Linked DNA regions of Neodiprion lecontei. The protein of the gene in region 2 binds, or shares a complex with, the protein of the main gene of each other region. Links are inferred from orthologs where the notes say so. Each region holds a gene or a part of one and is shown on either strand. Other genes may lie near its edges.

What was found.
Region 1: ragulator complex protein LAMTOR5 homolog (region 2) and ragulator complex protein LAMTOR3-A share a complex: the UniProt entries of both Homo sapiens proteins name them as parts of the ragulator complex. The link is inferred for Neodiprion lecontei from reciprocal best matches to the Homo sapiens genes LAMTOR5 and LAMTOR3.
Region 3: ragulator complex protein LAMTOR5 homolog (region 2) and ragulator complex protein LAMTOR1 share a complex: the UniProt entries of both Homo sapiens proteins name them as parts of the ragulator complex. The link is inferred for Neodiprion lecontei from reciprocal best matches to the Homo sapiens genes LAMTOR5 and LAMTOR1.

What each region holds. Positions count from the first base shown.
Region 1 is NC_060261.1:12,076,513-12,086,907, forward strand, and holds ragulator complex protein LAMTOR3-A, read right to left. Parts: upstream 6,190-10,395; 5' UTR 5,895-6,189; coding exon 5,886-5,894; intron 5,665-5,885; coding exon 5,431-5,664; intron 4,338-5,430; coding exon 4,200-4,337; 3' UTR 3,797-4,199; downstream 1-3,796. Other genes in the region: glyoxylate reductase/hydroxypyruvate reductase, read left to right, coding at 56-183, 1,095-1,284, 2,211-2,374, 2,460-2,750, 3,448-3,563; phosducin-like protein, read left to right, coding at 6,613-7,240, 7,311-7,543; ATP-dependent RNA helicase SUV3 homolog, mitochondrial, read left to right, coding at 8,612-8,688, 8,825-8,857, 8,940-9,169, 9,851-10,073, 10,174-10,342. UniProt on the Homo sapiens protein: As part of the Ragulator complex it is involved in amino acid sensing and activation of mTORC1, a signaling complex promoting cell growth in response to growth factors, energy levels, and amino acids.
Region 2 is NC_060260.1:24,483,552-24,493,728, forward strand, and holds ragulator complex protein LAMTOR5 homolog, read right to left. Parts: upstream 5,265-10,177; 5' UTR 4,920-5,264; coding exon 4,885-4,919; intron 4,519-4,884; coding exon 4,457-4,518; intron 4,346-4,456; coding exon 4,231-4,345; intron 4,022-4,230; coding exon 3,958-4,021; 3' UTR 3,059-3,957; downstream 1-3,058. Other genes in the region: protein RFT1 homolog, read left to right, coding at 197-256, 611-813, 990-1,176, 1,375-1,659, 1,739-1,870, 2,063-2,194, 2,280-2,780, 2,900-3,058. UniProt on the Homo sapiens protein: As part of the Ragulator complex it is involved in amino acid sensing and activation of mTORC1, a signaling complex promoting cell growth in response to growth factors, energy levels, and amino acids.
Region 3 is NC_060263.1:15,850,119-15,860,838, forward strand, and holds ragulator complex protein LAMTOR1, read left to right. Parts: upstream 1-5,448; 5' UTR 5,449-5,629; coding exon of another isoform or gene 5,630-5,634; coding exon 5,635-5,685; intron 5,686-6,356; coding exon 6,357-6,433; intron 6,434-6,553; coding exon 6,554-6,643; intron 6,644-7,140; coding exon 7,141-7,339; intron 7,340-7,427; coding exon 7,428-7,517; 3' UTR 7,518-8,219; downstream 8,220-10,720. Other genes in the region: protein YIPF1, read right to left, coding at 9,248-9,429, 9,544-9,724, 9,809-10,194, 10,302-10,506. UniProt on the Homo sapiens protein: Key component of the Ragulator complex, a multiprotein complex involved in amino acid sensing and activation of mTORC1, a signaling complex promoting cell growth in response to growth factors, energy levels, and amino acids.

The DNA.
Region 1 (10,395 bases), on a different chromosome or scaffold from region 2:
TGCTGAAACATATCTTCAAATAGCAATATCTGCAAATCTGTTCGATTTTTTTCAGATTTGATTTGACAATTCTACCAAGCCCAGTTAGTACACGCGAACAAGTACTTCAAGCACTTCCGGGCCATGACGCTATTTATCTCGCCAGCCATCATGTCGTGAACAAAGAATTACTGGATGTTGCAGGTAAATGTTGAATGAGAGCAATAATTTTTTTCGCTTGCACCTAAAAAAGTTTTACGTATTGAAAAATTCGGAGGAGACAATGTGTCTTGAATCCAGTTATAAAATATCGCTCTCGGTATTTGAACTCTTCCCAGACTTGATCCTGAAAGCATTTTGCAGTGACTTCAATTCACTACAGACGTGTCCGTTGAACGAAATTCGTAGCTCAAACAGTTTACAAATTATAGGCCTCGAAAATCAATTTTATTTAGAATATTTATAGGGAACTAAATTCTGTATAAAAATATACTTGGAGCAAAGTTCGTGTTTCAGTGGTTCACAAGTTATAATTCTTGATAATGAATTTGATGTAAAACATTTATCTTTAAAGATCTTTAGTGGCCAAAGTAATGACGTTATAACGAAAATTTCGTATCAATAAATACGGCTGACTGGTAACAATTTTAAATATCGATTCCGAGAGCATATTTTAAAATTGGATTTAAGAGTTAGTCTTCCTTGAGGATTTTTGTTTGTTACTAAATATAATAAGTTATTCAGGTGGAAGCGAAAAAACATGTTGCTTCAAAACGATATAATTTTGTCTTATAGGTAACATATATTACGTATTTTCGGCTTCATACAAACTTTTCCGGCCGACTCGGCCTCCGTTATATACGTTATCTGATCTTATCGTGAAATCAAATTTCGTTGAAGCAATAAAAATCTATTGCTCCGATTAGATATTATATGGATTATGCAACCAGTCTGTAATATGCTTTTTCATAATTTCTTAATTAAAGCGACTATAGATTATGCGAACTGACATGACTATATTTACCAATCAACAAAATGGATTTCTTCCACGGGCATGAAATTATCTTACCTCTTTGATTGATTGATATTGAAACTCAGGTTTTCATTTTCTTCAGGACCAAGGTTGAAAGTGGTGTCAACAGCATCTGCTGGATACGATCATTTGGACGTGCCTGAAATAAAACGGCGGGGTTTAAAAGTAGGTAACACTCCCCATGTTCTAACTGCTGCTGTTGCTGAGGTCGCTGTAATGTTGACGTTGAGCGCGGCCAGGCGAGCTTACGAGGGCCGTATCAAAATCATCGAGTAAATAATTCAACGTTTTGTTATATTACAATTTTAGCTTATGTATTTCATAACAAAGAATTTTTAAAATATGCATAGCTGCAAATACAATTACTTACATAGGTATGCACCTTAGGGTGGTCCTTAAAAAGGACATTTTGAATTTGTAATGCCTCGTCCCCCAAATCGGACCAAATAATTCCCTAACATTTACAGATTTTCATCTGAACTCTAATCCGTGCCGCAAAAACGGTTGATTTTCCGATTTAATCCTTTTCAAGGGAACAATAAATCTGCCAAACAGATTTCGATAAAATTTGATATAACACGTTCCTCTTGGGTCGTTGATTACGAATCTAAACTCGAAATTTCCAAATTTAAAATGGCGGATCCAATATGGCAATATCATTTTTCTTTTGGGATGTTTGTCCGCCATGTTGATTTGCCTATTTCGACATTTGAAATTTCGAGTTAAAATTCGTAATCAGCGACCCGAGGAACCCCCCTACATCAAATTTCATCGAAATCCATTTGGCAGATTTACTGTTCCCTTGAAAAGGGTTAATCGAAGAAATCAACCTTCCGGCGGCACGGGTTGGAGTTGAGATAAGAAGCTGAAAAAATGAGAGAATTATTTTTGAATTATTTGCATCCGATTTAGGGGATGGAACAGTCGAACAATCGAAATTCAAAAATGACCTTTCTTAAGACCACCCTAAAATATCTGAGATCTTGTGAAGTTAATTTAACTTTAAGAGGGGCTGATTCTTATAATTATGCTAATTCAATGCGAAAGGGTGGTAGGAATTGCAGATGATGCATTGTTAGTATAAGCTGCAAGAAAATTCTAATTCATTGGGTGTATCATAATTATATTATTACTATTGTTTATCTTTCATTTTCAAGGTACTAGAACGAAATATTTTAATATTGGTTAATTTTTTCAGAAACAAGTGGGAGTCACGGCCGCAATGGATGTTGGGCCGTGATTTACGCGGTTCAACTGTAGGTATAGTAGGCTTGGGTAACATTGGACAAGCAATTGTGAAGCGACTGAAGCCATTCGAAGTGGGCCGATTCATTTATTCGGGCCACTCGAGAAAACAAGCCGGTAAATAAATTATTAATGAATATTACCTATGATATGAATAAACGTTCGGATCGAAATACACATGCAACGTTTCATATAATTGCAGGTGACGATCTTGGAGCTACGTTTGTATCGTTTGCTGATCTCCTCAAGGAAAGTGATTTCGTGATAGTTGCCACGCCGTTGAACAATGAAACTACGAATATGTTCAATGACAACACTTTTGCCCAGATGAAAAATACGGCGATACTGGTGAACGTAGGACGCGGACCTGTCGTCAATACAGATGCCCTCGTCAAAGCACTTCGAAATCATACAATTTTTGCTGCTGGATTGGATGTTATGAATCCAGAGCCACTCCCCAGTGACCATCCACTTTTAAGCCTGCCGAACGCAGGTCAGTATTTGAGCGATTTTTTACGTCGGGACCTCTCCTGGCAATAAAATATGTCCAGAAGGTTTCACATATTTGTACGAATTTACCCAGAATGGTTAATTTCTAACAGATCCTTACTTGTTTCTAAAAATCCTAAACCGGACCTAGTAATTTCTAGGAAAAGAAATAATTTTTTGCAAATATCGTATAGAAAAACATTGATGATTTAATATTTTTGAAAAATTTAGACAGTTCAATCTATTTTAAAATCCTTTTCAACTGTTTCATTTTTAATTTCTCTCAAAAATTCGTCTGTTTTTTGCATAACGCGATACGCCAGAGATACGATTTTTTTCAGGATTGTGACACATAGTGGAGTTCTGAGAAAACATGAGTTATCCATAGAAATTGGTCCGATTTTCACCTCTTAAAAATCAGTCGAGTTGATCATGCACAACGAGAAAGTAAAAAAATCGGAGTTTTATATTTGAGTTTTGGTAGAAAATGAAATTCCGCGTAAAGAATTTAGAAATTTTTTTTTAAAACTCTAGAATTTCTTGAATTTCCTCAAACATTATCAGGACAATTCAAACCTTTGCTAATTATGATTTGCCTGTTATTTTTTTATCAATGTCTTTGGGAATACAAGATGAAGAAAAACAAATGCAGAAACAAATTAATCACCCGAAGCCCACTTACGTTTTATTGAACTTTTTAGTTATAATCCCGCATTTGGGCAGTGCAACGGTGAAAACCCGCTCAGACATGGCTACAACAGCGGCGCAGAACGTGATCAACGGCTTGGAAGGAAAACCACTCGTCTATGAATTATAGTGGCAAACAGGCTTTCAATAAAGTTTGCACCAACTGTGTAACCTGTTGCCTGATATATGTATCAAATATTTTCAAAGCAACTGAAATTTTACGGGGCTTTAATTTTTTATACATGTCTTCAAGATTCGTATTTCCACTTTACGTCATATTCAAGAATATATACCTAGCAATTATTATGTTTTATAGTATATTTCATATGAAGGTGTCAAGTCTGGGAATTTTTTTACCCAGGATATAAGCACATTGACATTCCAGTAACTTGTTTGTAGGTGTGTTATATCTCACGTTAATTCATACAGATGTGACTCCGTGATCAATGTCTATTTTTATTTTATGAATGCGAAGTTATTTAGGAATACGAAAATATAAAGTGTGCGTATGACACGTGTTCACGAAATAATCAATTCAATTCTCCAATAATACATATACAGTATATATCATTTTTTGTTTTGTATGTATATTACATAATTATATAAGATTTATAGAATTAATTTACAACGATTTAAATCGTAATATTTAACCTTTGTTTTGCTAAAATTTGGTTCAATGTGTTTTACACATTCAATTACACAGTCGTCGTGACGTTTTAATTCCACGATTTCTTCAATTAGTTTATTAGTGCATCACAGGTGTCCATCAGGCTTCGGCAACAACGTTTTTAAGATTTTGTAAAATTGGATCAATTTTACTCTCTAGTGACAAGATGTGCCCGGTATCACAAATGTTGTTTGCAATAAAGCTTACGACCAATGGTAGCTTATTCATTTGAACAACCTGTTGAACATATCATTGATCACACATAAATCCATGTATTTACACACTTATAACTGTTTCTGACAACATGGTAAATAATTGTAACTAGAGGTAAAAATTTACAAGAAATTTGCACAATAATTAATTAATTTTATAATTATATAATATAGTTGAAATACAATAAATGCTAGTTCCCTTTAATGTGTATGGAGCATTATTTTTCAAATCTGATAAGGTTTTGATAATTTTTTAGTTTCAAAATTTTTTATAAATTCAGTTTTACCTCTTGACAGAAGTGCTGATGATTTTTTTGAAGCTGCATTCTCAATTTGTTTTCTAATATAGAATTTTTGAAACATTTTCCATCTAAATTTTGCAAATGAATGAAATTTAAAAACTAAATGAGATGTTTAAAAAAGGTAAAACATATCTTTTTTCCTCTTGAGTGATGGATTCATTGATAAAATATTTCATAATTATATCTCATAATTTCGTTGTACCATTTTCCTTATAGTTCCGTTCTACTTTTTCGCATAAAGCCAATTATGATTATGGGTCGATGAATTGTTGTATTTCTACTATCTATTCAGAAGAGACTTTTTTAAAAATCAATTTCTTGTCAGGTGAAAGAAAGATTGATTTCATCAAGTTTGTAATCAATCGGACGCTACTATAGGAATACGTGTTCATACGGAAAAGATTTTTTTCTTATGAATGTGGAAGAAATTGTTTTTATAACTTTCATTCAAACGACTAAAACATCGTAATATAAATTTCTCACCAAATGAAAAAATGAATTTTAATTAGGAAAATTTGACGTTACATTAAAAAAATTAATAATTTAAGAACAAATTGAGATGAAAAGATCAAACTAAATCATCAACAAGCCTTGTAATAGGTAATATGAGATTTCAAAAAATGAAGCGTACCGAAAATTCGACCTTAAAATCTTGTCAAATTTGAAAAATAATATGCCATATAGAACTAGTTTCATATCATTATATGTTTAAACAATGTACTCTTCAGAAAAGGTTGCATGTAAAAGTGGAATAACTGAACTCCAAACAGCCTTCCAGAATTACGGTGCTCTTATTATCAATGGTTCATAACTTACTTGATAACTGCTGTATATGCTAATAATGGTTTTATTCTTTCCTAGATCTAATTTGCTCCCTTGATCAGTGGCCATTCCGAATGTAGAAAGGAAGCTTGCCCGCATTGCTAATTCTGGGGCTTTTTCATCTGACACTGATATGACAGGAACACCATCACGATCCGTGATCAAAATACTGTGTAAGCCATCAACGCTGTTCAATAGCTGATATAAAAATTTCTTCAATTCCTGAAACTGAATCACAAATTGATTTGTGTATGCTAGAAAAATACAGATCGCGAATATACATGTCTATATTGCTTCGAATTTTTGAGCTGACTTCTATTGCAATTCCAATAAAGAGTGAGTTCTATTTTGAAAAACATAACCTCGATTATAGTTACTTTCACTTGGCTTCGAAACGCTAGCTAACGGTCACATATGATTACAGCATAAACTTCAAAAAACAAACTCACCACGTTCATTTTCGAATGCAGAACCTGTATTCAGTTTTCAGTATTTTTATTGCATTCCAAATTTTTATTGAATTTGAACAAAGAATACTCCGTTCTGTGACTAAGAGTTGACACTTCACACAGCCGCGTCAGCCACGGGGCGCCGATATATTTCTATTTATGGTTTGACAGGGTTACAATCCTACCCTACCGATCGAGTTATTTTTGTCCTACCCGCATTTAGCTGTGAATTTAAAAGGTAGTGTACGTCAAAGAGAATTATCTTTGGTGTACGTAAAAATACTGTATTATAAGTGATATGACATGTTATTCACTCCTTGTTACCAAACTTATACAAGCGAACTGTAAGCGCGCGCATTGCTTAACATGCCTAAAACAGAGACAGAGCCAGTCATACTCAAGAAGTGCAAAAGAGATAAAAAGATTGCTACCGGGGCCGGGAGCTGATTTTGATACGCACCCGCAGTAAGCTAAAGTGTGTGGCGTATCAACCTCAGAGAATTACTCTATGGCGTCAACTTGGTGTAAAGCGTCGTTCACGCAGTCAACAATTATAATAAATAATTGGTTTTCGATAAAACAGCGAGAATGAAGAGCAGAGCATTGATGTTCATGGACTGAGATTGGGTGATAAAATTATTATTCCGTTGAATATAATATTAATAATTCCGCTCTTCGTGTATTAAATAGAGGTACAACAGAAAGCTCTAGCCCAAAAGAGAACGGAATGGCAACACTTGAGGATAAAATTTTGGGTGAAAAATTACAATATTACTGCAGTAGTTCAAGTGAAGACGAGGGGCAAGACTCAGCGGATTCTGAAGATGAACAAAAGTCGCAGAAACCGTGCGACGCGACAGCGTCAAGGTCTGAGCAACTGCCTGAGTGTGCAAAGTGGGACGGAACTTCAAGCAACACAGGGCCGAAAGGGGTCTTAGGCGACTGGCAGCGGTTTAAACAAATAGAGGCAGAGAAGAAAGTCGAACAGGAGAAGGAGAGGATCGAGCTGCTGAAGAAGTTGAGTTTGACTTGCAGGAGTGCTCTTGACGAGGAAAAAGATAATCTTGAGGAAACCGATCCAGAGTTGGCAGATTTGATGAACGACGAATTTTTACTCAATTATCAGAAGCAAAAAATGATGGAAATGCTCACTCGGGCTGAAAAATTAAGATTTGGCCGGTTATTCAACTTGGTAACTGCTGATCAATTTCTGGAGGCCATCGACAACGAACATGAATCTGTTACCATCGTTATTCATATTTATGAACCTGACATAGAAGGATGTGAGACTATGAATGGCTGTTTACTTTCACTGGCCATCGAATATCCCAGCGTTAAATTTTGCAAAATTCAAGGTGAGATGGTGAAAGAATTCCAAACTTCTATAAAAGAACATTGCAGTTGCTAATGCTGAATTATTTTTAGGCTCCGCCGCAGGCTTAAGTAGGCACTTCAAAAAGGAGGGAGTTCCAGCACTGCTTGTTTATAAAAACAAACAAGTCATAGGTAATTTTGTTCGTGTCACAGATCACCTTGGAGTTGACTTTTATTCCTCTGATGTTGAACATTTTTTAATCGAGCATGGAATGATAAGTGACAGAAACTGTATTCCATCAATTGTTTCTACTAAGAGAAATGCAGATTCTGACAGCGACTAGAAAAATGAACGAAATAGAGACTGGAGATTATATGTGGTAAAAATGTATTTAATATTTATAGTAACTATACTTATATGAACTATGTAACAATAAACCTGAAGCTCCTGTATATTTTATCTATGCTGTTCGTAAGTATGACGATTGGTTTTCTCGTCATTTACATAGAGTGAATTATCTGTAAATGAATGGTTCTTTGATCCAATGGCATTGACTGAAAAGTTGGTAAAGATGTTGCATAGATTTGGTTTTCTGAAAACTAAACTTTTCCAATCATAACATAACTAGTAATAAATTGCTCTTTTTGCAACCAACTGATTTGCATAAATTTTGCCATTGAAATTATACGTGTATCAGTAATGCAAAAATTTTAATTGACACGAAAGAATACAAAATCGGACTCTCGTGAATAGCGGAAAATTAGGCAACGCAATGAACCCAATGAATAAAAAAGGTGGAAGATGTTCTTGGGAATTTTCAGTGTTGACAAGCATTGGTTGGCAGCAGGTTTTGCAACTCGCATTGAGAAGGGTTTTAGAAAGCTTTGGAACGCACAACTCATTTCAAACTGTCTAAAGTCCCAACGCACACCTTTGGATAAATCCAAAATTAGGCTCGAGACTATCGCGAAAATGTTTCTAGACGCACAGTTAGTAGATTGAGTTACCAAATACCGATTAAGCATTGAAATGCATTGGACAATTCATTCAATCACTTGTTTCAGATAAACCAGGGAAGAGTCATAATTTAAGAATAAATTAACTAATTGTACGGCATTCTCAACTTTTGTAAATGCTTACTGTTGCGCCACGGAGTAATGGCGCTTTTCATTGGCTACACTTGCGGATGCGCACTGATTACGGTTCTTCTAGTATCTCGTTTCAACTATTGGTTGAAAACAGTGGAATCTCACTCAGTGCGCGCACCGGCAGTCGGCACGCTCGATTGTAATTTTTTGATCCGCAGGTCTTTCCGAAACATAACCTATTGCACGATGAACGTTATTTGATATTTAAAGATAATCTGATTTCACTCTGGTTTGGATGTTGTGAAATTAATAAATATATAAAAATGATACCGACAACCCGACGTATATCGGAATCCCTACTTCGAAGAAGTGGGATCCTGTGCACCACTTTACAAGACAGGTAGAGTATAATATCTCTATTATATACTTTTATATTGTAATAAGGTAATCGACACACATTATTCATATTTATTCACTTATTATAACCTATGGTCAATTTTGTATTCCTATATCCTACAAATATTTTATTGTAACAGGTGTAAGTGTGAGGTGAGTTTAATCAACAACAGGTAAAGTTTTATAAAAATTATTGAATGTAATAATTTTATGAATTGATTTCTAATACATTACGCGTTATTTTTTATTTTTCAGATATCTTAGAATTGGAGCTTATTTAGCACAACCTTTGCGGGGAAAAAAAGATGACTCGACTACAATCACATCTTTGTTCAAACCAGTTCCCGTCAAGTCGAACCCAGATGATATTAACGTGGGAGTTGAACTTAGTGGGGCTCTCAACAAAGCTGACCTCCTGAAAGTGCTCAATCAATTCTATCAAAGAAAAGAGATCAAGGTGCTCGCCATGGAACACGGATTGGACAGTGAGTACTTAAGGTGCTTCAACTCGTTATTTCAGTTTTCTCAACTTCCCGCTTTGGTATTTTTATAGAAAAAGGAAAGTTTTTATAATTACCCTGAAAATGAAAAGTTGTGTTTTCACTATATTTCTACTATTTAAGGCCTGGAGAATCTTCTCTGATCACTTTCAGGTGGACATCTCGATTTGAGTGTATGATCGTTTTTTGGTGGCAATTACTGAAAGATTAGATTTTATTATTTTGGCCTTAATTGATTCAGTTTTGCTTGACTCAGAACTGACTAGAATTTGAACTTAATTCTTGTGGTATCTCAAAAACGTCTAGATGCAGATGAAACTTGCTTCATGGGTTTAGCTTTATTAATATAAAGCTGATTAGATTTTTACTAAAATCAGTTGAGCCTTTAAAGTTATTTTCAAAATTATAAATCATGTAGTCTGAAATTTTTATCTTCATCGATAGTGGGAGTAGCTGGAAGTTCTGAGATTGATCCTCTCAAGTTGAGTAGATTTCCCTGCTTGTTTCCACCCGTTTTATCGCTGTAAATTACATTCAATAAACATTGTCCTACAAAAGCCAATGTAAATGCTTCTGTTGGTTGTTTCCTCCCTACTTTTGGTTCATTGCTCTTAGTTTTTCTGCATTATTTTGGAGACTGCACACACAAATATGAACGTCTTGCAGGTTACTTACAACATCAAACCTTCATCAGTTTTCGACGCTACTGCTTAGATGCTGAAACCTTGCCGGCAGACTTGCATGTTGTAATAAGCGACATAATGCAAGGAGCCGGGCATGTCGATGACATATTTCCGTACTTTATGCGTCATGCGAAACAGACTTTTCCCCATATTGAATGTATGGATGATCTCAAGAAAATAAGCGATCTACGCACACCTGCTAACTGGTATGAATAAAACAGTGGAAATATTTGCTTCTGTATTTTGAATAGAGCTTCATATTTATAACCAGAAATATGCGCAAATTAAATAACTATCATTTTGCAGGTACCCGTTAGCGAGAGCTAAGACAAGAAAAATTATATTTCATGCTGGACCAACGAATAGTGGTAAAACTTACCACGCGCTACAGAGGTTCATGACTGCAAAAAGTGGATTATATTGTGGGCCGCTGAAGTTGTTGGCTGCAGAAGTGTTCAATAAAAGCAACACTAACGTGAGGATTCAGTAATTCATTAGAACTGTTTTTGAAAATCTTGCAAATGTTCT
Region 2 (10,177 bases):
TTGAATGAAAGATCAATATATTCTGCTTGATTGTGCCAACTGAAAACATTAGCTGTCAGTGACGGAAAGTGCTGATTTCATATTTATTTCGAGAACGATGTTATATTCTCGTTTTGTTGCATAACCTATAAACAAAATTCAGGGTTACATGGTATGATCAACAACTGGCAGTAAAAATATAATACGACCTTGTAAAATGGCACCAAACATTTTGAAAAGCAGTTTAGAAAATGCATCGTTCAATATAATATTCCAGGTACGTATGTCATTTCGTTAATCAGATTTACTTACACTGTCATTTCTGAATGCGTATCTGCTGTCACTTCAGTCATGCAACGTGGTTACTTGACGTGAAATCAACATGAAATGTCATGAATTCATGTAAAATCGATATGAAATCACGGAAAATCAATTGAAAATCCCGTGAAATTATTACAGGCGACGAGATCACACTATAAGTCTGAGTGAATAAGCCCTCCCGTCGAGGTGCACTTACTACAGATTGCATTGGAGTTCACACACTTATATTTTTTATATTCAGATGCTTTTTTGTAAACATTAACAGTGGACAAAAATGGTGAGATCTTTAATTTAAATTACATTTTTTCAGATACTATTCCGCTGCGTAACATTTGTTCTAAATGCGTTTGTAGTACGGCATGTAGGCCAAGCAGTGCTTGGAGTAATGAATGTGAGGCTGCTCTTATTGGAATCTATGATCCTTTTCCTCTCTCGTGAACCGTTTATGAAAGCGTGTCTGACGAACACGGCTGAACACAACTGGGCACAAGTGGTTAATTTGCTATGGGTGACGTTAGTTCCCTAATCGTCAATTAATAATTTCAGATTTTAATAACGCAATCATATTGAAAACACAATAGTTGCTTTAATTTCACCTCTTACTCCAATAGTGTGAATAACAGCTTTCTTTATACATGAGAACTAATGGCTATTCAATGTGAGAATAATTCTCAACAATTTATTTCCAGGGTTCCAATATGTGCGCTCATGTCCCTGATCTTTGGATATACATGGTTGTTCATATTATTGCCGTCAGAAGTATTACCGCCTTACTATACATTCGCAGTTTGCGCAGTCGCTGTTTCCTGCATTATTGAACTATCCTCGTTGATTGTTCAATTAGTTGCCAGTGCTTTTCTCTTTGTGAGGCTTAAAGTAAGTTTTTCGACTAAGGACTCTAAGCTTTTCTTATATATTTTTTATGTACTTGCACAATTTGAAAGCCCTGCACCTGAACTTTTCATTATTATTCATTTATTAGGGTGGGCTTTGCCTGTAAACAAGAATCATTTACATAAATTGTTGAAGAGATTTTTTGGTCAGAATATACTTATTTAATTTATGTGATTACAGGTAGTCTTAGATACAATTATGATAATCATTCGGACGTTTACCTTTGTCATACTGATACTTTACCAACCAGAGAATGCATTATTCGCCTTTGGAGTGGCACAGCTTGTTGCAGCCATTTTTTACACTACCAGCCACTATGCTTATTTCCATTTTTACATTACCAAGATAGAAGAATTCAAGGTTCAAGAAAGACCATCTTTAAGAGATGATGTTGATGAGTCTGTGAGCATGGAATTCCCGTTTACATCAATAAAAGACTTTTTACCAGGTCAATTGGTTAATTCGGTAAGATTGTCATCAATATAATTACGAGGAAAACTCAATTATTTAAGTAACTGGTCTTATGTAATTTATAACTTTTTAGGGGTCGTTGTTGGACAAAAAACTATCCATCCTTACGTGGAGTTTTTTTCGACAAGGAGTATTGAAACAAATTTTAACTGAAGGGGAAAGATTGATCATGACCATAATGCCCGTTTTGACATTTGCTGAACAGGTATTTGAAGAAAAAAAATCTATTGTTGACAGATGTTTATTGGACCAGAAATTCATTACCTCGAAGGGTTTGTCCATTAATTACGCAACATTGATTCATTTAATTGAAAATATAAAATGAATCACTATTCGTAGTTTAACAATTCATCAATAAATTGTACTTGATGAATAAAATAATTTTCTTTTACCAAAGGGCACGTATGAAATTGTTAACAATCTGGGTTCCTTAGCAGCAAGATTTATATTCCGTCCAATAGAGGATAGCGGTTACTTCTATTTCACACAGATGGTCAAAAGGGATAAATCGATACCTGATCAAAACGTGGCAAGTAAAACTAATTAGTTACTCACTTCTTTGTTTGCTCAGTACCAAGTCAGAATTTCTGATAATCCTTATCTTTGAATTGCAGGTGAAGGTGCAAGAGAGTGTTAATGTTTTAACACAGCTATGCTCAGTTGTAACATCAATTGGATTGATTGTTCTAGTTTTTGGCCAATCTTATTCCTCACTTTTACTCTGGTTATATGGAGGGCCAAAGTTGACAGCCTATTTACCAGTTTTATTACTGAGATCGCATTGTCTTGCAGTATTACTGTTAGGAATAAATGGAGTTACAGAATGTTATACAAATGCGACAGCAGACAGTAAAACCATTGACCGGAATAATTATATTATGATATATGAGTCTGTAGCATTCCTAGTAGTGTCATATTTTTTTGCATCTTGGTTTGGGCCCGTTGGTTTCATTTTTGGAAACTGCGTTAACATGGCTTTGAGAATTTTGCATTCAACCAAATTTATAAAAAGAAGACACGAAAATACCAAATATAGACCATTATTAGGACTCGTACCTAAACCAATATTCCTTGCATCTTTAATACTAGCAGCTGTTATTACAAAAGTGTCACAGGTAAGAATAACAGTATTAATACTTGATAAAATCTTGAAATCATCAAAAGTTTCTACTGCTGCGAAATGGTAGAGAAATAAACACGGCAAAACTAAATTTATATTTTCCATTCTTTTTAGGCATACTTTTTTCCGAGCGAAAAATTAATCCATCTGTTCATCGGTATCGTAATGTTTGGACTGGTGATGGCTTCCTGGGTTTATGAACATCAAGACCTGGTTCAACTCGGTGTAAACAAATGGCGCGATAGGCGAAACAAACATAAAAAAGATGATTGACCAATGAGTCCTTATTTATTGTTTGTAATATGACTGTATAAAGATTATTTATAATATAGTTACACAAGACAATATGTTAATAGTAAAAATGACAACTGTCCTCATGACTTGGTTCATTAATGTGACATTATTTCCGGACACAATATTTTACATTCAAAGCCATTTGAATTTTTTTTCTCACTTTTATCTCAAACTTAATTTCACAAAAATCGGACGCTTAAAAGTGTGCAATTATACTCTTAAGAATTCCTTATTATTTATTAATAATTGTAATTCAGACAACAAAACAATTTTAATAGAAGGTTATTCTCTCGTGGCAGTGTGAAAACGCGTATACTTGCAGAGTTTTAGTGTGAGAGCCTAAAGCAAAGAAACAAGTGACAAAGCAAATTTGATACGCACCTGGCTTAATCAGGTTTTCTGGTGAAAAACAAAACTCGAGTTAAGCTTGAAGAAAATAGTTCCATTTTCAGAGAATCAAGTCTAATGTTAGAAATAAAAAAATTCCAAGGGCAGACTTAAATTCAAAAGAATAACTAAACTAGTATCACCTTGTACAATTGAGAAGAAGTAATGTTAGGAATGATCAAATCTTGACTTGAAATGCACCCAACTAAATTGGATTATGTATTTCATTACTCTCATTTTGGACATGATTTTACGAGTGTATATAGTCATGGAACTGTGCAAGTGATGATTGATGGAATTTTAGAAGATAAGATTTTGTCTATTATAAACAAAGAATATAATCTTTAATCTGAACAAAATATAGTATTACAGCAAACGTAGAACGAACACTCATTATTGAGCCGTATTTCAAGTAGATATTGTTAAACATAAAGAATCAATTTTAATTCATGTACAAATCCATTGTTAAGTCTCAACGTCGATTTCAGATTTCAGGGTGATATAGCTTTGTAGATAGCACCAACTATAGGCCCCTGACGCTGGATTATGCATTGCCTGAAATCGTTATTGAAGAATTCAAGTTGCACAGCAATTCTGACTTGGAGTTATTCTCAAATTTGCATAAAATAATCATTGTGAATAAAGAATGAGCTCCAATAAAATGATGGGCATTGAACCGAAGTAAACAAATGAGAACACATATTACTTCAGATTTAATTACATATTTCCTTAGTATAAGCAAGTTGAAATGTGCACATACATACCGATTGTCACTTTCTAAAGCAATAATGGGTGCGTTTGATTCAGGCTCTAATTTTGCTACCTCATCAGCAATGGCTGCTATCAACCCAGCGCTTTGCCCAGATGCACTCCCCTTAGCTGAAAATTAAATACATATCTTTTGAGCTTTGACAAGTATGACATTTGGAAATTCATGCAAACATAGAATCAAAAATAGTAAACATTGATTATTAATTAGTTATAGGTTACCTCCTAAGCAGAGGCCTTGACGATCGGCCAAAATGCATCCTATGACTCCTTCGACATTCGTCCTGTAAATATGTCATTATTAAATAACATTCAGAATTTGTACCTACGTCAATTCTGGTATATTTTACCCTTTTCAGTTCTTCATCAAAGGAGAAAAATGAGTTGTGTCAGAATTGATGTTAGTGAAGGTTATGAATGCGGCTACTATTTAACATTATTTATCAAGTCTGAGTATGAAGCCTTCAAGAAAATTGGTTCATACTTTCTAAGCAACAATAAAATTACGTGGGCATTGTTATGAATTTCCAAAGCAGTCAATCAATTGCGTGGAAAAAAAATTCATGAGAAAATTAGCGTATTTTAAATTGTTTGAAATAGGCGCGTCGTAACGTGAAATCTATGAATTTTGTCTTATTTCGATAACTTACACGTTATCCATAGTTTTCTCTAAGTTACGTTCCATTCTGAGGCTCCAACAAAATCGCGGTTCGTAAGTAGTGTGTGAAATTATAAGCAATAAACTGCTATAATCGAAACAAAACTACGAATAGATTTACAGTGACTGGCATAAAACAACTGGTTATTAACCAGTGTGGTTATTTTTCTTTCACGTGAACGCACTCATAGTTCTTCCTTCTTCACGACGACCCGCTGTTGTACGAACTCTTTGATTGTTTATTTTTTTACTTTTGATCTTGATGCATACTTAAATTGATATATTGTATATTGGTCGTTCACTGAAAACACTGAAATTATATATTTATTAATTTGTCAAATGTCCCCTCTTGTCTGACAGCCTGACCGGAAATACCAATTGTAACGTTAAAGTCAAATCAGATGTTATGGTATTTGAAATTGTGGAGAAGTCCCTACTCTTGACTGAAAAATATTAAGACGGGTAAATTAAATGACCCTGGGTAAATTTTTGTGATCAGCTTTTGGCGGGCTAGTGGGCCCAGTGGGCATGAGAGCGTAGGAGGGTTCTGCTCTATCGACTCTATCTAACGGGCTCATACCGACATTCCTAGCAGCCAAAGTAGTGTCTATATGGAAGCTTGGGATTGAGTCGGTGAAATGTGGAAGAAAAGGCGAGGGAAAATGCACCTGCTGAAAAACGTCGAAAACACGGGTTCTCGATTTTTGGCTGTAGCTTTTGATGCGTTGATCGCAGTGTATTGGAACTGCGCCCAATCGGTTTCTCTCGCAAAATCACGTCGATACAGTGCGCCAAAGAATTGGTTCCAGCACTTTTCAAAATCGCAAAAATTTTCGCCAAAGATGGAAAGGGGTGAGCCTTGCTTTTTTTTGAGCAGAAAACTTTTGGTCTCAGATTCGATTTAAATGACCCTTATCCGACCAATTGGACCCTCAGGAACTCAGAAATCGCAGCGAAAAGAGCGTAGGACCAACAGGAGATAAATGGCGAGCGAAAAAGCGCCTGCTGAAAAACGTCGAAAACACAGGTCCTCGTTTTTTGGCTGTAACTTTTGATGCGTTGATCGCAGTGTATTGGAACTGCGCCCAATCGATTTCTCTCGCAAAATCACGTCGATAGAGTGCGCCAAAGAATTAGTTCCAGCACTTTCAAAATCGCAAAAATTTTCGCCAAAAACACAAAGGGGTTAGCCTTACTTTTTTTTTGGGCAAAAAACTTTCGGTCTCGGATTCGATTTAAATGACCCTTATCTGACCAATCGGACCCTCAGGAACTCAGAAATCGCAGCGAAGAGAGCGTAGGACAAACAGAAGAGAAATGGCAAGCGAAAAAGCACCTGCTGGAAAATGTCGAAAATTCAGGTTCGGGTTTTTTGGCTGTAACTTTTGATGCGTTGATCGCAGCGTATTGGGACTGCGTCCAATCGATTTCTCTCGCAAAATTACGTCCGATCAGTGCTACAATTAATTGATTCCAGCACTTTTCAAAATCGCGAAAATTTTCGCCAAAAACACAAAGGGGTTAGCCTTACTTTTTTTTTGGGCAAAAAACTTTCGGTCTCAGATTCGATTTAAATGACCCTTATCTGACCAATCGGACCCTCAGGAACTCAGAAATCGCAGCGAAGAGAGCGTAGGACCAACAGGAGAGAAATGTCGAGCGAAAAAGCACCTGCTGGAAAATGTCGAAAATTCAGGTTCCGGTTTTTTGGCTGTAACTTTTGATGCGTTGATCGCAGCGTATTGGGACTGCGTCCAATCGATTTCTCTCGCAAAATTGCGTCCGGTCAGTGCTACAATTAATTGATTCCAGCACTCTTCAAAATCGCGAAAATTTTCGCCAAAAACACAAAGGGGTTAGCCTTACTTTTTTTTTGGGCAAAAAACTTTTGGTCTCAGATTCGATTTAAATGACCCTTATCCGACCAATTGGACCCTCAGGAACTCAGAAATCGCAGCGAAAAGAGCGTAGGACCAACAGGAGATAAATGGCGAGCGAAAAAGCGCCTGCTGAAAAACGTCGAAAACACAGGTCCTCGTTTTTTGGCTGTAACTTTTGATGCGTTGATCGCAGTGTATTGGAACTGCGCCCAATCGATTTCTCTCGCAAAATCACGTCGATAGAGTGCGCCAAAGAATTAGTTCCAGCACTTTCAAAATCGCAAAAATTTTCGCCAAAAACACAAAGAGGTTAGCCTTACTTTTTTTTTGGGCAAAAAACTTTCGGTCTCGGATTCGATTTAAATGACCCTTATCTGACCAATCGGACCCTCAGGAACTCAGAAATCGCAGCGAAGAGAGCGTAGGACAAACAGAAGAGAAATGGCAAGCGACAAAGCACCTGCTGGAAAATGTCGAAAATTCAGGTTCCGGTTTTTTGGCTGTAACTTTTGATGCGTTGATCGCAGCGTATTGGGACTGCGTCCAATCGATTTCTCTCGCAAAATTGCGTCCGGTCAGTGCTACAATTAATTGATTCCAGCACTCTTCAAAATCGCGAAAATTTTCGCCAAAAACACAAAGGGGTTAGCCTTACTTTTTTTTTGGGCAAAAAACTTTCGGTCTCAGATTCGATTTATATGACCCTTATCTGACCAATCGGACCTTCAGGAACTCAGAAATCGCAGCGAAAAGAGCGTTGGACCAACAGGAGAGAAATGGCGAGCGAAAAAGCGCCTGCTGAAAAATGTCGAAAACACAGGTCCTTGTTTTTTGGCTGTAACTTTTGATGCGTTGATCGCAGCGTATTGGGACTGCGTCCAATCGATTTCTCTCGCAAAATTGCGTCCGGTCAGTGCTACAATTAATTGATTCCAGCACTCTTCAAAATCGCGAAAATTTTCGCCAAAAACACAAAGGGGTTAGCCTTACTTTTTTTTTGGGCAAAAAACTTTCGGTCTCAGATTCGATTTATATGACCCTTATCTGACCAATCGGACCTTCAGGAACTCAGGAATCGCAGCGAAAAGAGCGTTGGACCAACAGGAGAGAAATGGCGAGCGAAAAAGCGCCTGCTGAAAAATGTCGAAAACACAGGTCCTTGTTTTTTGGCTGTAACTTTTGATGCGTTGATCGCAGCGTATTGGGACTGCGTCCAGTCGATTTCTCTCGCAAAATTACGTCCGATCAGTGCTACAATTGTTTGATTCCAGCACTCTTCAAAATCGCGAAAATTTCCGCCAAAACACAAAGGGGTTAGCCTTACTTTTTTTTTGGGCAAAAAACTTTTGGTCTCAGATTCAATTTAAATGACACTTATCCGACCAATTGGACCCTCAGGAACTCAGAAATCGCAGCGAAGAGAGCGTAGGACCAACAGGAGAGAAATGTCGAGCGAAAAAGCACCTGCTGGATAATGTCGAAAATTCAGGTTCCGGTTTTTTGGCTGTAACTTTTGATGCGTCGATCGCAGCGTATTGGGACTGCGTCCAATCGATTTCTCCCGCAAAATTACGTCCGATCAGTGCTACAATTAATTGATTCCAGCACTCTTCAAAATCGCGAAAATTTTCGCCAAAAACACAAAGGGGTTAGCCTTACTTTTTTTTTGGGCAAAAAACTTTCGGTCTCGGATTCGATTTAAATGACCCTTATCTGACCAATCGGACCCTCAGGAACTCAGAAATCGCAGCGAAGAGAGCGTAGGACCAACAGGAGAGAAATGGCAAGCGAAAAAGCACCTGCTGGAAAATGTCGAAAATTCAGGTTCCGGTTTTTTGGCTGTAACTTTTGATGCGTTGATCGCAGCGTATTGGGACTGCGTCCAATCGATTTCTCTCGCAAAATTGCGTCCGGTCAGTGCTACAATTAATTGATTCCAGCACTCTTCAAAATCGCGAAAATTTTCGCCAAAAACACAAAGGGGTTAGCCTTACTTTTTTTTTGGGCAAAAAACTTTTGGTCTCAGATTCGATTTAAATGACCCTTATCCGACCAATTGGACCCTCAGGAACTCAGAAATCGCAGCGAAAAGAGCGTAGGACCAACAGGAGATAAATGGCGAGCGAAAAAGCGCCTGCTGAAAAACGTCGAAAACACAGGTCCTCGTTTTTTGGCTGTAACTTTTGATGCGTCGATCGCAGCGTATTGGGACTGCGTCCAATCGATTTCTCCCGCAAAATTACGTCCGATCAGTGCTACAATTAATTGATTCCAGCACTCTTCAAAATCGCGAAAATTTTCGCCAAAAACACAAAGGGGTTAGCCTTACTTTTTTTTTGGGCAAAAAACTTTCGGTCTCGGATTCGATTTAAATGACCCTTATCTGACCAATCGGACCCTCAGGAACTCAGAAATCGCAGCGAAGAGAGCGTAGGACCAACAGGAGAGAAATGGCAAGCGAAAAAGCACCTGCTGGAAAATGTCGAAAATTCAGGTTCCGGTTTTTTGGCTGTAACTTTTGATGCGTCGATCGCAGCGTATTGGGACTGCGTCCAATCGATTTTTCCCGCAAACTTACGTCCGATCAGTGCTACAATTAATTGATTCCAGCACTCTTCAAAATCGCGAAAATTTTCGCCAAAAACACAAAGGGGTTAGCCTTACTTTTTTTTTGGGCAAAAAACTTTCGGTCTCGGATTCGATTCAAATGACCCTTATCTGACCAATCGGACCCTCAGGAACTCAGAAATCGCAGCGAAGAGAGCGTAGGACCAACAGGAGAGAAATGGCAAGCGAAAAAGCACCTGCTGGAAAATGTCGAAAATTCAGGTTCCGGTTTTTTGGCTGTAACTTTTGATGCGTTGATCGCAGCGTATTGGGACTGCGTCCAATCGATTTCTCTCGCAAAATTGCGTCCGGTCAGTGCTACAATTAATTGATTCCAGCACTCTTCAATATCGCGAAAATTTTCGCCAAAAACACAAAGGGGTTAGCCTTACTTTTTTTTTGGGCAAAAAACTTTCGGTCTCAGATTCGATTTATATGACCCTTATCTGACCAATCGGACCTTCAGGAACTCAGAAATCGCAGCGAAAAGAGCGTTGGACCAACAGGAGAGAAATGGCGAGCGAAAAAGCGCCTGCTGAAAAATGTCGAAAACACAGGTCCTTGTTTTTTGGCTGTAACTTTTGATGCGTTGATCGCAGCGTATTGGGACTGCGTCCAATCGATTTCTCTCGCAAAATTGCGTCCGGTCAGCGCTACAATTAATTGATTCCAGCACTCTTCAAAATCGCGAAAATTTTCGCCAAAAACACAAAGGGGTTAGCCTTACTTTTTTTTTGGGCAAAAAACTTTCGGTCTCAGATTCGATTTATATGACCCTTATCTGACCAATCGGACCTT
Region 3 (10,720 bases), on a different chromosome or scaffold from region 2:
CCCATAGTGTGTTGGCCATAGAGGTATAAGAATAGAGTACGGAAGGTAGAAGCTCTGTACAGAGAGAAACCTCTCCGCCTTGTAGAAGGTCTCGTGCATACTAACTTCGATTACCAGGTAATCGATTGTATTTGACATTTGTAGGTGGCTTATACAAATCACATATCTCTTTTTGAACGACCTTTTCAACATTTACAACTCCACCCTTCGGAAACTTGACAATATAGTCAATTCTCACTTCTTGAAATTAAATAAATATGCAACCGTGCAATGTCTAACTATCCTTGTTTCAACTTTCTTTGATGCGGAGTTGTAGATTATAACTGTAAGTATCTTTTGTCAACGGTAGTACGTACAGCCGAGTGGATAAAAATTTAAATCAGTTTTATCAGTTATTGAAAAGCAACCTTTGATTTTGCAACAATGTTATTTATGTAATTCTGAATATTTCAAAATTTGCCTTGTGAGAAAGAGATTTTTTTCCCACGTTTTGTAGCGCTTTGAAAAACTACGAATTGACAATAAATAATAATCAATATTTAGCATTTTAACAATTAAGGGCGTTGCCTATGCCTCAAAGAGTGCGTGCGAACAGAGACTCACGATCTTCCTTCTCATTTCCTCATTTTTGAAGATAATTAGGTTCTTAGGGGGTCATTTTGAAGATAAAGAATAGATCTGTGTCGCCTATTTTGCCGAATTTTCGATTTCGCTTTCAGATTTGCGAAAAACGTACTTGAAAGTATGTTATCTTTGAAGTGAGACACAACGGACAGTGAATTTTTTTTCGAAATTCGGCGAAACAGGTGACACAGATCTATTCTTTATCTTCAATGGGAGCTTTCCAGCAAGGAGACACAGTATGACACTGTGTTACCCGGTCGATCACTGTGCCTTGGTACTTGTTGGAACGCTTTGAGGTTCTTAATTCAGTCACTAAAGTCCGCTCATGCATTGTACGAAAAATCTAGGAACACTGAGCGCTCCAGGAAAAAAAAAACATTTGTGAAACGCGTGTAGATTATCATTGCATTTAATAAATAAATATAAACAATACCATGCGTCGAAAATAAAATCTCTAACTAAAAAACTGGCTGCAATGAATCCGAAACAGTGTCCAGCCATGCTCCGCAGCTGTGTCCGACTGTGTCGTTCTGCGTCGTTGCTGGAAAGCTCCCAAACTGACTCCCTAAGAACCTAATTATCTTCAAAAATGAGGAAATGAGAACGAAAATCACGAAGCATAAAACAGCAAATTTTTCGTGCCCCCGACAACTCTCAATCCGCGAACCCCCCCTCAAATCATCGAAGCCCAGAAGGCCGCGCGTAAGAAACAGTAAATTCACGACCGATAGACGACAAAAAACTGTAATATAAATATACGTACATATGTACATAAATACAATAGCTTTGTATACCTATAGCTTACGTGTAATACTTCTCTGATTTATGTTCAGTTAGTTATATGTATTACTATGCCAAAAATTTGCTAGTCATATCGTTATAATTATATGTCTGATTATTCATTCCAGGAATACTTTCTGCAGTCTGACCGAACTGCGTGTATAGGGTGATTCAGAAAAAAAAATGAATTTTTTTTTCCTTTCGAAACAGGTTCAAAAGTTTCATTCAGGTATACAAAGACACTAGTTGAAATTTAAGATTTTAATATTAATACATATTAAGGGGTGGCGCATAGCACTTTTCGATTTTCCATAAGAATAACATAGGATAAATGTTGTTTGCTTCTTCTAGGTTTTATAACTAGCTAACGAAGCGTCGTAAAAAAAATCTAAAGACGGATTTTTGTAGGAAATTGAATGCTCTACAAAAAAGGAAGCGTACATTTTACTTTAAATAGATGATAACTAATAATTAATTTTTGCAACAATGACGTACTACTTTCCATAGTTTGCGCTTTCTATAGAATTTATTTAGCCATATAATGTATACAATGCTCGATGCCTTGTTATGATATCAATTTTCTCGATCAAGATTACTGTCATGTTTCACTTATACTGTTTCAATTTAATTTCTATGAGATCCTTTTCATACAGATTTCGTGATTATGTTTATTAAGTTTAAACGAGTTTGATTTCACTTTTATCATTTTATATTATTTTTTATCATTTTGTATTTGTTTGGTGCAAACCCGATCATGGTTGGGAGGTAGGGACAGGTTAGGTGGGTCTCTGTTTGATAGCAATCTATACGTGGTGCGACCTAGGAGATTGATGATATTTTCGTTGTTATATCATGAATTTGCTAACAGCCATTCGTCGCAATTTTCAATTTGAAACGACCTGTGACGACGTATGGCCGCTATTCATAAATAGTTACGTATTATTTTCGAAACTGTATTAGGAACAGCTCTCAGCCGATCAAGCTATGCTTTGAGCTGACTCAAGACAGTCCTGCAAATCGAACCTGACTATGAATACCGGCTATTAGACTATTACCAATCACGTGATCGCATTGCGTAGAAATACGGACGCCGGTGAATATAATTTTCGTTGAAATATTAAGAATGTATATCTATATCAACATACGTATGGGGAATTCTACGTCACGTCAATCAAAAAATGACCTCGTATTTTTTCAATCTATTCATACTCTTTTTCACATGAAATAAAGGTAAAAAGAATCGATACGCATTTTGGTGTTCGTCCGAATTATGTTTGTTTTGGAAAGTTACCAGACAATCATTCAATTTTGATGCAAAAGGAGCGCGCATATATCTGGTTCTATTCAACGTGGAGACATCATTTACAGTGCATTCGGAAGGTGAACGAATAAGCTTTCATAAAAAAAATGTAATGTTGAACATTATTGAATATCCCAATTTTCATAAACAATTCAAATGTTTGACGATTTTTACCTCATTAATGAAAAGTTTTTGAATTATAAGAAAAATAGTTTCGGGTTCCTTATTAAATTCTGTATTACTAGTAAATTTTTCAAGTGGAATCTGAAAGGAGTCTATTTTTTTTTCTATTATTCATCAGGTGCTGCGTCGTGCCGAGCGCGGCACACTGGGCTGTTTAAAAGTATTTGAAACCGAATGCCCGTGAGGGGTGGTGGAGGCTAGCCGCGTCACCCGCCCACACCCGCCCCACTCCAGCGACAGCTCGGGTGCTCCGTCTCACTTGTTTCTTTACTCTCTCTCTCTCGCACGGTTAACGCGGGAAGCGGAGTAGCCCGTGCTTTCTAGCTAGGCAACGCCCTTAAGAAGAAAAGTATGGTTTGATAAGTACGTCAATATTATACAGAAGATAAAATACATTTTTTAGCTGCTTTTCGTCACATTTTTAAAAAGTCGTATTACTGAAAGACAATTTTAACAATTTATCAAAATTTAAAATAAATGCAAAAGTCTTCTATTTTTCGTTCCAGTTAAATTGCAACGAACCTCGTGATAGATTCATTTTCATTATTCATGCTTATTGTATTTATTCCCAAGAACTTGCGTAATTTTTCTTAATTAAAACCCAATGACTGATTCCAAATTTTGGGAAAAATTTATAAAATAGGTTCATCCTTCTACATATCATCAACGTGCTTCTCGCAAAAAGAAAAGTGTTTCAGAATTTTTCGGATATTTTCAAAACTTGAGATATCGAATTTTTTCAAGTCATAATTTTAAAAGTGCTCAACAAAGCAAACAAAAAGTCTGCATAAGCACTTTCTTGAAATGATTGGAACTAAAAATAAAGTATTTCAACATTTTTTCAAAATATTTGCCGCTCAAAGTTGACTACGTAAAAAACTTTGAAAAAATAAATTGAGCGTCTTAGAAATGCTAATATCGCCTGTAAAAGATTTGATATATTCATGTAAATATAAACAATACACGAACATGTATTTGATTGATATTTATTTTTCCGTTATGTAATTTCGGCGTATATATTTCTTGTACGGGATTTTCTCAACTTTTCAATCTCACGATGACGACTGTATGTTATCAACGTTTTGCACGTGATAGTTGTTTGTTTTCAAGAACTTCTCTTACGTGCGTTGTTAGTTGCTTGGTTGATAATACGTGAAACTACTATACCTCCAAACCCGGTCAAACTCAGCAAACTGTTACGAAAAATAACTCGTTATCAGTCTTTACATATCCTCAGTCAACGTTCCCTATGAAACATCTAAAAATGATCAATAAACATCAGTACATACATATAAATGAGAAGCAGCTTTTGGTTATATGCGCTAGGGCTAGATTAACGTCTGGGACTACTGCCTAACTACAATTGTTTCAATTTTCACGAATCAACGATCCACTATCAGATGTCGAAACTTCACTATCCAACACCACCAAACGATCAACAAACGATTGCCAGCATGGGTAATTGCATTTCAATGCAATTTACAGTTAACGAGGAGTTGTCGTAAGTTAGACGTTCTGGGATTGAACAAACTCCCGGAATTGGTGCCTAACTAGAGTCGTCTTATTTATTTTATTTTTTTTGACTGGCTTAGGGGAGGGCTATGTTTTTCAATTTTTTCAGGTAATTGGAGGACTATTGAATGTTGGAGAAACGCTAATAAACACCAACATACGACGAACAAACGATTCTGCACAAGCAAAATTCAAATAAATCCCAAAATACAACTGTGAGGGGTTAATGTCACTGAACTCCCTAGCCGGTGTTGTTCTAATAATAACAACGTAATTATTAACTATGGGTATGTTTCGATATACACTGCGAGCACTGTAAGGTGTGTCGTCAATTTAGTATACTGCGAAGCCGTTCCTGTATAGTTAGCTATACTGGTTACTGCTTAAAACGTGCTTAAAACGGAACGCAGTACAGTATACTGTGATCAACATTTTTTGGCGTTACTTTCATTTCATACATAATATTTGTTTCACATTGTAATAAACACAATTTATTCAAATTTTCCATTTTTGTTTTTAACGGCCGATATTTTTAAATGACAATATTCAATAATAATAATTATCAATAGTGGAAGCTGTTAAATTTCTGAACGCTGTTGATCACGTGATCAAAGCACTGAGAGCACCTTACCTCGAAAGCACCAGTGTTCACAGTAGAAAAATGGCAACGATTTATGACGTCATATATTTCCCTAGGATTTCCTAGAATTTCTCCCCAGTAAGAGCACTGAACAGTGCTCGCAGTGTATATCGGAACATACCACTGATATGAACATACCCTATCAAGGCCGTGTTCGTAAATTGACTGACGGTACTGAAAATTCCCTAGGACAGAGTCGGAGCTATTTACGAACTTGGAAGCGCAAAAGAGATGAAAGATTGCTGACAGTACTGTCAGTCAATTTTCGAACACGGCCCAAACCTCGGGTACTCACTACAGAGAGAAACCTATCAAACACAAACGATCACAGATTACTTTTCGAGGTACTGGTCTAGACTATTTTGTATTACCAGGTTTTAGTGGGGGCGAAACTGGTCATCGGTACGACGACGTCGGCAATCTGAACGATTATAAAAACATTGAAGTTACTGACAAATGCGTAATTGGTTACGTGTTGTTGCACAACAATGATAGAATATTTGTTCATATAATTATACGAAGTCATAAAAAATATACTTGACACAGTTTAGACTTATTATTTACATAAAGTGGTTGAAACAACAGTCACTATGGGATGTTGCCCAAGCCTTTGCAAAGAAGACAATGGGCCGCAGGTATGTCAGATGTAAAGTACTTGGACTAATCCTTGCCTTTTATTTTGAGTTTATTTCTTCTCCTTTGCTCATCATTCTCACGTCTACTACTTTAGAATTGATACGTGAGTTTCAGTAAAGACACTTATCAAACTAGTCTCGATCATCATCAATCGTAAAGGTACAAATTTTGTGTAGGCATTTCGTCGCCACGATTGTATTTTTATTTATACGCTGTATTTTTCCATTGACATAAACGACTTTGACAGCTCTGAAATGTTAATTTGATGCCACTTCTCGTTCGGCGAAAAAATAACCATTTAACATTCCATTTTTGCATATCTACAATGACGCACATCATCTAGGAGATGAAAAATATAAAAATTATAGTAACAAGTAAAGCCACGGACACACGAACGATTTCCAAGTGCGATGTCATCATTATTATTAACTACAATATCTGGCGAGTTTACCATTATTTCTGCCCCCCTGTGGTATTTTTATTTACCTTATTTCGCGATAACCTACCCAGATAACTTTGATCTACTGATACTGCTGTAATAATTATCATTTATTGAAACTCATTAATTGACTTGAAATGCTTTCACCAACATTTCTCTCACAACAGTAGATTAAGACTGAGTAGACTAATTACTTCTAAGTTCCTAACCTGTATCTTAATTCGACTGACTTGTATTTTCAGGGTGACGCAGCTAACGAGAGAACACGTTTGCTGGTAAATCCGGTCAGCAATACACCAAATATCCCAACAGCTCACAGGTGATTGATCAGACTTTAAAGCATGCGTAAAAAGTATTTGTGTTCCATTCTTTTTATTATAGTGACTGTCACTTATATAATATCAAATGCTTTTTTGCTTCTTATTTTATTACTTTCCAGTGACGATTATGTTAATCCATATGCGAACCCTGTCCCAAAGAAGACTGATGAACAAAGCGCACTGAACCGAATCTTGCAGGAAACTGCCGCGTGAGTATTTTTTATTTATTTTTTTTTTGAATTTGTATCCTATTTATTTTGCTGTTTACGAAACTTGAGCTATACCTTCTTAGTTCTCTGCATCGAATGCATGCTGCTGCTGCACGTTGGCTTAGTACCAAGTTTATATTTAAATTGTCTCTAGGACAAGCTTACTATACCTTTGAGTAATGCTTTAGAATTTCACGATTTCTGTTTTTCTTTGTGCATTTCAAGTTCTGTTTTATACTAACATAGCATGGTAGCCTAGCTTCTACAGATTGAGCCTCGGAATTGGCTTCTCCATCAACTTTTCAACTCGAGGTTTAATAATTTTCTAAATTATACCTATTTTGTAAATACTTTGCTGACCGTTAATTTAATTCTCTGTAACTTGTTTGAAGCAGTAAAAATAACAGACAAATGTTATAAGAATCATTTGACAAAGTTACATTCAATAAAAAATTCGGCTCGATTTTGCCACCTCTAATTTTCATCTCCTTTATCAGCAATGTGATCGATGTCGGTGCTCTCGACTCGCACAATTTGGAACAGCACGAATACATGGATAGGTCAAAAGCATATGCCAAAAGAATAGAAGTTATCGGTGTTCAAATACCTGACCATCCGCCATGTCTATTAAAAGATATACCAGCGCCCGAAAGAGTATTGGCTGGGGAAGGGCTGCCCCAACAGGATCGAGAAATGGTAAATAATAACTTCCACTAATATGAAATAGAAATGATGAAGTAGTGAAATTTCTATGATTTCATTGCTTATCTAAATATTTTCACAGGTTACAGATATGATGAACAGTGCGGTAACCGCGTTGAGCGAGATACAGGTGGAACATAAAGAAGATTTAGTCGTACCCTTCCTGTCGTGACTGCATTTCAATCAGATGGAAGCTTGAGCCTAAAATTTTAATATGTCTAATGACATTTATAACAGCTGTAAGAAGAAAATCAAATTTTCTACTCGTTAAGACATTTAATTCTTGTTACAGATCAAAGGTATAGATACTCTACTTGTTCGCCACAAAATCTTTATTGCAATTCAATTTTGAGCTTTATACTTAGCAGCAATGGAAACATATATTAATTTAGGTCATGCTATTCTATGCTTGTCAGAAACTCTCGATACTAGATATATCCCCCAATTTTTATTATTAACTGGTTCTAACTTTTTTTTTTTCATTTTTTTTAGTGTATCACCGTTGCATTGCTAAATATTGTTTATCGTGTAATCACTCGCGAATCGATTCTATGAAAACCGTAGTTTTAAATGATTGTAAATAACGGTTTTCTCTCGTAACGTTTTAAAGTATTACTCGGACGTGTTAATAAACCAGCGTTATGAAATTCTTTTGAACTATGTTTAAAAATCCCACTTTTTGTGGATGACAAGGTTGCATATTATGCTTATCATATTGTACAAATCGGCTGACGGGAACAGTGAGACGCTAGCGCAGGCTTGATTGGACAATGTATTTTGTTGAATGACAAATACAAAATGTTGAATACCCATGGCGTTAAAAAAAGGCTTTTCATGTGAATATGATGTAATAAAAAATATGTTTCATTTGTAATACAAATGGTATCTTTGTTCATTAACAATAGTTCGAGGTTTTAGGGTAGCGTCAAACTACCTATAGATATAAAGAATTCGCTTGCAGTTGCGTTAACATAAATAAATAAATAAATAAATAAATAAATATGAGAAGTTATCAGAAGAGGATAACAAGACGACTACTCACTAGGGTGGTTGAAAAAAATAAAATTTTATTCGCTTTTACCCCCTTCTAATGTTGGTGTTTGATAGAAAAAAAGATCTCGAAAGATTAGCTCTTGAGCTCAGTCTAACAGGTCACTACTTTAATTTTAATTTCCCTTTCATTCAACATGAGAAAATTTCACTTTTCGTTAAAAATTAAAATATTCGTAAACTATTCAATATTTTTGAAATCCATGCATAGATAGAATCTTGAAGGTGATTCTCTTTGCGGTAAAAATTGGTAGTTTTCAGATGACTGTAATGTGAATTCTAATGATGATGACTATGATATGTTATAGCGGTTTGAAAAGCTCGTAAAATCAGCTGCAACGATCTATACATGAATTTAAAAAATATCGAATAGTTTACGAGTATTATAACTTTTAACGAAGAGTGTAATTTTCCCATGTTAAGTAAATGGGAAATAAAAATTAATATAGCGACCTGTTGAGATTTGACTTCGGTATCTCATCTTTTGGGAGGGTTTTTTTATATCATAAACTAACATTTGAGCAGGTACGAGCGGGAAAAAATAACTTTCTTTTAACCACCCAACTACTGACATTCGATTTTTTGTCCAAACACGTTTATATATTACTATCATATATATACAACTAATCAGGAATATACATATACAATATTAGTAGCTGATTTATTTATCAATACCACTTATTTAAATTGAACAGCGAATAATTACTTGACATGGTATTAATATGTAATATAAGGGCAATCAATTTTTTTTTTTTTTTTTTGAAATTAGCTTCATCGATGTACTCAATGAGACGTTTATCATACAATCTTGTGTGTAATTGACAATTGAATTAAGTATAGTTTAAAGCTAGTCTAAGTTGGTGACGAACTGTTATTCACTGCTTTAACAACTGACGCAACTGTTGTTACAACTTCGATAATTTGGCTGGCACTAGGAGTAGATCGTGGATTGTGGAAAAAGTACATCTTGAAACCAGCAGCAAGTAAGAAATGCATTCCTAGGATTGCTATGGCATAAATAGCTTTGTGCTTACCTGAAAACGAACAAAATAAACTTTAAAATTCCACATCTACGATTGACTACAGCACAGAACAGTAATTCATTTCTCAAATATTGTTCTTAATGTAATCCATAGCTTATCTTTTACCAGCTATAACTCGTGACAAAGAGCGCAACAACACTCCACCAGACATGAATGCAGCAATTGCGACAAGTGTCCATTGTAGCCAACCAATCTGTATAGTCCATAGAAAGGCGACGGGTATGTAAATGCTCAGGGAGTATCCATAGAGGCACAGGAGTTCCAGGATCCCAGGAGCAGTATTCGACTACAGCAAAGGAAAATGTTAGTTTTCAAGAAGTGAGTTGATGTTCAATTGTTTTGCGAATGATTTCACTTTTCTGAAATTCACCTCGATTAATTCGTTGTCATCTTCTCGCTTGCTGGTAGACCATTTCAGAGCGCCCCAAAGTGCAAGGGGTAACAGCCAGGCGTACATAAAAATGGCGGTAGCGGCATAAGAAACTATATGGAAATCGTACCGCCAGTGAAATCCCTGCGAATTTGCTGTCTGAAGGTAATTAGCCATATTCCCACTAATCGCTATGGCAAATATCAATGTGACACAGACCCAGAACGGGCCGTAAAGATCAGGCTTTGGCCGGATGTGGGATTCGAGATAATTCTCGCCCCCTCGCGGTATTATGGACCTGATTATCCTTTGCACAACGTCGTCAGTGTCGACATTGAAGAATTTCTGGTAGTATTCGATGCTCCAGAAATTGTGCTGCAGTTCTTCTGCGGAATTGGAAATTGTGTTTATTCTCTCGAGACAAGAAAAATTTTAAAGTAGGTTAACCTAGTTTTGCAGCAAAGAAAATAAAAGAAAAACTGTGAATACAGACGGTCATTTTTGTTCGGCATTCCTTGTAGGTCCTCGATCATTCCGATTCCCGTACTGTCATTCTGGATTCCGACGAAGCCCTGATTGTCGGGTGTATCAACATCCAGCTGAGCCTGTCCACCACCAGCGGAACGATTTATTGGTGAGTAATCTTGAAAAGATATAAATTGGGAATCCGACGATTTGTCGCCGTCCCCGTTCATCATCTTTGAATCGTTTACTGCACTTTCGTTCTACTTTCAAGTTCGATTTTGACAACCCGTACACGTTGCACCTTATTTTACTACTATTTCTCCAATCCCCGTGAACAAATCTCTGTTTACCTTAGAGCATATACTACTGGAGGTAGCCACCCGTGCCGTCAGCCTCGCAAAAACTGCAGCCAAAATGATAAGAGAGAGAAGATATACTCGTTACAGC